2 linked regions of the Saccharomyces cerevisiae S288C genome follow. The gene in region 2 interacts genetically with the main gene of each other region. Each region holds a gene or a part of one and is shown on either strand. Other genes may lie near its edges.

Region 1 (3,629 bases), on a different chromosome or scaffold from region 2:
CGACTTAAGAGCACTTTGAAATCAGTACCCTCTGTTCAACGTGAACAAAAATTTTCGCCACACGACACTTTTCTGGATGGGCGTGATTGTATTAGCTGCCATGGTTCAGTAGTCTTCAATTCAGTGACATACTTTATTGTCATGAGACCACTCAACAGCAACAATATAAGAGCAGAGAGACATTCCAAGGGACAAGAAGATATAAGTTTTGACGTTCAGGAATCTTTTATCCAGTCTGTCTTTATTTGAATGTTTTATTAGACTTCAGAAGTATCCCGATATGTACAAGAATCTTTCTCAACGAGCTACTTTTCTCTTAATCTTGATTGTGTTTGTGATGCCACTTAACAATGCGGAATCTAACGAGTGTTTACAAATATTTTGTTCTCGGCGAAAAATTCAATACATTGCCTTCCTTTTCGGTGCATGATTGTACGGCTGAGAATGGAGAAATAGTACCGCCTAGATCTTTCGTTTTAATGGCTTCAAAGCAGAAGAGGAAAGATTTTTATTCTAAATGAAGTTAAAATTGATTGGCTGCACTACATAGAAATCAAAATTTGATATATATTATCTAATTACTTAACGTTTGACACTCCTTTATAACATCGAATACGTTGCCGAAAAAGGATCCCACACTAAATGCTATTATTACCAATAACATAGGTACAGCATCGAAGACATATATGAAATACTCATGAGAGATTATATAGCCATTGAATCCCTGAATAAATTCAACTATTCGGACAATTGAACGTAGTAGGATCAACATACTGCTTAATAATAGGGTAGCATTCACAAAGATCCACTTTCTGGAAATATCTTCGTAAAATAAGCATCTCCTTTTAACATTTACTGTGAATCTTATCTCATTGATAATGAAAAATCCAAAAAAAATTACCTGTACAAAAAGACCCGCAGTTATGAGTCCTGAACCAGTCTTCGTTGATCCTGCCTTAGACATTAGTCCGCCACCTGCAGCTTGTAAAAAGAAACTAAACACATCTCCCACAACAAAGAAAGTCGTACCAAAGCGTGCAGAAATCAAAATTAAAGATTGGCACCTCATAACATGTAATAACCTTCCAAAAATCATATAAATCGTCGCAGCTATTAGTGCTGGAGCGACTAATAAAAGAACAGATTGGATAATATATGGGGTCGTTCTTTCAGGATTGGAACTGGATAGAGCCCTCCCGATATACCCGACAGCTTCCATGATGCAGCCAGTGAAGAAAGGTATAAACGCAAAAACTGTGGGTGTGATTTTTAGTTGCTTGTATTCAGCATCCTCAAGACTATCGACCTTATCATCAGATGACTCAAATGGATTATTTTTCAATGCCTTAGAAGATTTTCTCGCAGCATATAAAGTTTGAACGGCAAAAATGACTGTCATTATAATGAAGAGTACGACAAATACGATTGCAGCCGCTTTACTTGGCGTATAGTGGTAAAGTACGAACCCCGAATCAGTTGTGGACATTTTGGAACGTTGATGGACAATAAAAGATTAAGTAGCTATGTAATTGGACACTATTAACCTACTATCCTGGACATTTTGAGGCAAGAGACTATACATCCCACAATTGATTCGGTAGGTGCTTTTATACTGATTCATTTGAGGTCTTGGCATTTGTTCAATTGAAGTACATTTAGTTGAAAAGTTGAGATTTATTTAGGATGAGCTTGCCGCGGCATGGGGAAAGAAACACTTCATCCTGTATGGAGAAAAACCACTTTGCCGCGGCACATCAAAACAGGGCTGAAACCTTCAGTATGCGCGATACCATTACACGACAATCGCATGGCTTAGTCATAATAGATCGAGGCGCTCATATACATGGCAGCCACAATATTTGAAGGTCGACAAATAAGGACAATATCAACGGTTAGGATACCGAAACTTGAATATGGCTGGTTTCTCAGGAACAGCCGATACTGTCCTGATCTTAACTTAAGGTGCGGTGAAGTAACCTGGATTCAACGCTGCATGAAAGACCTGATTAGGCTTATTTGATAATCCAACAAAAAAAGTGATTGGTTGGTTTGCTAGTATTCAAAAATAACTATTTTGGAGTACTTTGTTTGTTTGAAAGGCTGGGTAATAATTTTTTTGATGTGTGCTTTGAACAGTAAAAACTTTCTTCCTTTCTATAAGCTAGAAGCAAATCCAAATCTCATCGAATAAGCGCATTAGGTTAACGACATTATTGTTGTTTAAATTTTAAGCTTTTTAGCTTTTTATATTTTATTGAGATGGCAGCAAAAAGAGGATTAGCCAAACAAAAATCTAGGGTAACCAAGGCCTGTGATAGATGCCATAGGAAAAAGATTAAGTGCAACAGTAAGAAGCCATGTTTTGGGTGTATTGGGTCTCAATCAAAATGTACGTATAGAAATCAATTTCGTGAACCGATTGAGGCTTTTTTCAATTATACTGGTAGTCTCAGTAATGATTTGGATAATGCTAAGTGCAGCATAGCAAAATTGAAGGCACAGTTACCTCCAAGCGCACCGGCCTCTTTACAGAAAGGCCTAGCAAACATTTGCACTGAGCTTGAAAAAATACAACCTCAGCTTTACCTCAATCTGGACAGTAAGGAAATTAGCTCGTATGGTGGCCTGAAATCGATAGAAACAGAAATTATCGGGAAACAGTCAAAATCTTTGAATAGGTTCTCCAACGCTTTTGAAAGCAATACTGCACAAAATGTCAGTATGTACTTTGGGGTCTATTCACCGTTGCTATATTTTGCCTCTACGGGTATTAGCTGGATAACTAAAAAATTGATTTCATGTTCGAATGATAGGGAGACGAGAGAAACTATCTATTTATTTTTGAAGTTTCTTGACGCTAGCTCTGCTAGCCATGCTGGTCCTAAAGTAACTTCGATATCTCCTTTAGAGTATTATTCAAAGCTAAACGGACTTTCATGTGGGAACGACGTACTTATTCAACACATTATGTCAAATATATCGAATGAAATCAAAGGAAATACAAACATTAACCAAACAATCAAATTCAATAAACCAACAGACTGGTTTATGTACGGAGTACAATTGATGGAACAGCACCACAAGGCGTTGGATCGTAAAAGTTCCAAAAAATTACTTCCTTTGAAATATTTTCTTGAGCAAGATGAGTTGATTTTTTGTCTCTGTCTTGAATATTTTGAAAGATCCCTATTTTCGACAATGTACGACTTGACTATTTTAAAGGGCTTAGTCTCGTTGATGAAACACAGATATTGGATAGACGATCCTTTTGTGCTGGGAAGAATTATTTCCACGATGTCCAGGCGAAGTTTGGATGCTGGTTTGAATCGTTGGGAATATTATATTGGTCAGGATGAGGACACTGCCGAAGAATATCGTAAGTTATGGTGGGACTGCTACTGGTGGGATAGATGGTATTCATTGGTCACCGGTAAGCAGCCATTGATACCACATGAAATGACTTCGTGTCTCTTTCCCAAGGATGTGGTTGGATTAGGGGTAGATGATTCGATGGACTGTTTTACTTTAATAAACTTGGTGGAGCTCGACCCAAGTAAGTTTGATATTTGTATCTCTTTCGGCTATATTCTATTAACGAAAATTATTACAGCGGTATTCTCTGGTTTGCT
Region 2 (2,939 bases):
TTAAGAAGAAGGGAACGATTTACTAGATCATGCTATACGCAGTAAGGTTCTGATAGTTAATTACAATCGGTCCAAGTTCTAAGCGGTGTCGTCCATGCATATATCATTTACAAGTTACTGGCGTCAACTCTTCAAATATTCAAAATATCACCTAATCAAACTTACTAACATTTTCCTTTTTTGTTTTCCTTCTTTTATAGATCGACGTTGCTGGTGGTAAGAAGGCTTTGGCCATTTTTGTTCCAGTCCCATCTTTGGCTGGTTTCCACAAGGTTCAAACTAAGTTGACCCGTGAATTGGAAAAGAAATTCCAAGACCGTCATGTCATCTTCTTGGCTGAAAGAAGAATCTTGCCAAAGCCATCTAGAACATCTAGACAAGTCCAAAAGAGACCAAGATCCAGAACCTTGACTGCTGTTCATGACAAGATCTTGGAAGACTTAGTCTTCCCAACTGAAATCGTTGGTAAGAGAGTTAGATATTTGGTTGGTGGTAACAAGATCCAAAAGGTTTTGTTAGACTCAAAGGATGTCCAACAAATCGACTACAAATTGGAATCTTTCCAAGCTGTTTACAACAAATTGACTGGTAAGCAAATTGTTTTCGAAATTCCAAGTGAAACTCATTAGTTAATATAATAATATCTAAATCTTTATTATTAGTTAGTAACAACTTTGTTTATTTTATAGCACAATAAGATAATAAAAACTCCAAATTCCAAAAAAAAATACTTTTTGCAAAGATCTGAATCAAATAAATTTTATGACAACTATGCATAGTTACATACTTTTTCACCGCCGTATGATTGCCGCTAAATCGACAGGTTGCCATACAAACATTTATTTATGTCGTGCCATGTTTATAAAATTTTCGTATCTGTTGGAGTTAGATAAGCCTACGCTTGATGGACCGTTGGGTGGCTTTCTAAGTGAGCTCGTGCCATCACAATTAATATAAGGAATTGTAGATGTTTCTTTCGTTATAGGTATTTCAAAATAATTATAAGAACCTACGCCCTCGTCTTTCTCCATTGGAACAGTTGCCGTTTTCGCAGTTCTTTTTGGTTCAGTCCTCATATCATGTGATTCCCCTGGCTCTCCTGATCTTTTTATACTTACTTTGAAATCGTCATATGTGTATTTCTTTGATGCAACTCCGATAACGAAGACAATGCTTCCAATAATAACTAAGAATTTGCATACCGTTATTAAACCTACCAAAAGTTTACCTATAAGCTTCTGTAATATTGGCCCCATCATTGTTGTGAATACGCACCCTACCAAAAATGATGGGAAATCCAGCACAATACTGCCAGGCCCACTACCTATTGTAATTTTCCATCGTAACCAATCCCTTTTCAAATCCATCCGTGACTTCTATGTCTCGTTACTTTCACAGCGTGTGGAGCTACTAGAAAAGTGGCAAAGCTAAACAGCTGATCGAAGTAAACAGAAAAGAACACTAATTGTAGATCAGGCTGTGTACTAGACCTTATTTTACTGTATTTTTTCGGAAAGAAAAAAGGAGCGCTTTGCAGATCGAAAGTTTCGCTCGTAAATTATTTGTAAGATGCTATTCATAATATGTTAACTGAGAGAAACCAGGTCAAAACAAAACAATTTTGGGCTCTTGCCTCCAAATTTGCCTACCCTAGAACAGGTATCCATTATCTCGCCTGTACCCGATTAAAAAAAAGACCAATTATTTAAAACTTCTCAAGAAGTTTCATATGCAGTGTATAAGTTGAAGGAATATAGGAATATATATCCTTCAGAAAAGCAACACAATACCTAATTACATAACCGATATTTACCTTTTAGAGTGCCTCATTCTTGCAATCTTTCTGTTCGCCATAACACCACCGCCCATGCTCATGCCATTATTTGTTCCCATCCCCATCTGATTAGGGGCTGACTGCGGCTGCCCAAAAGAAGTTGTCGGCACACCACCTGCCCCCCCAAAAATGGATGATGGATTTGTTACGTTTGAATTGGAACCAGAGGCAGCATTCGCACCAAATATATCACTTGGCCTTAATGCATTGGTCGCGGTATTAGTAATTCCGCCATTCAATCCGCTAAAATTAATATTAGGAACTGTTGATGGCGTGAATGAGCTGTTTGTATTGAAAGATGGGGTTTGCGATTGATGTGGTTGGTTATTAGAGCCGGCAAACACCGTATTAGCATTAGTGTTGCCGTTCATATTAAATACAGAGCCGCCACCAGGCGTTGAATTATTTCCCGTAAAATTAAAAGCAGAGGGAACATTGACATTTTGTGCATTCGTGGAAGGAGGTTTATTGAATAAACCAGCATTAGCATTAGTTGACGAAGTTGCTGATGTAAAAGGATTGAGACCCCCTGCACCATTGTTTCCAAAATTAAATGAAGATTGATTAGAAGCTGCACCAGTTGCTGCTGTTCCTGAGCTCGAAAAGCCAAATGCCGAGCCCGCTCCATTCGTATTGCCACTAGCGATACTTTGATCCGGTTTTCCTACGTTAAATGTACCCGCTATATTGGTTCCTGAGGTATTGGAAGTAGTAGTTGTGCCGTTACCAGTAGCAGGGGCGTTAAACGAGAATGATGTGGAGTTTGCTGAGGCATTGGTACCATTGGTGTTAGCAGTACCGAATGAAAATGCAGATTTAGATGTTGTATTACCAGTAGCGTCTGTTGGCTTACCCAAGACAGGAATCGGCGTTGAGGAAGCAGAACCATCGAAGAAAGAAGTTGGAGAGTTTGACTTTTCTTTATTGTGATTGAACTTTGTAAAGGAAAAGCCATTTGATAGCTTCTCCGTATTTGCTGCCGCTGTACTTGCTGTCGACTTCATCGACTCGGGAGCCCCAAAACTAAAAGATGGTTTTGTGCTAGTGGTTGTTGTATTATTTGTTGTGGAACCGCCAAAGGTGAAAGATGGCGGTGTAGGTCTTT

Evidence for each region.
Region 1: mutations in YOR097C (region 2) and PUG1 together harm fitness more than expected from each alone (negative genetic interaction), as found in Saccharomyces cerevisiae (one large-scale study listed by BioGRID).

What each region holds. Positions count from the first base shown.
Region 1 is NC_001137.3:557,311-560,939, reverse strand, and holds PUG1 (Pug1p), read right to left. Parts: upstream 1,487-3,629; coding exon 575-1,486; downstream 1-574. Other genes in the region: TOG1 (Tog1p), read left to right, coding at 2,260-3,629. UniProt on the Saccharomyces cerevisiae protein: Involved in inducible protoporphyrin IX influx and heme efflux.
Region 2 is NC_001147.6:506,139-509,077, forward strand, and holds YOR097C (uncharacterized protein), read right to left. Parts: upstream 1,368-2,939; coding exon 840-1,367; downstream 1-839. Other genes in the region: 40S ribosomal protein eS7 RPS7A, read left to right, coding at 201-629; FG-nucleoporin NUP1, read right to left, coding at 1,810-2,939.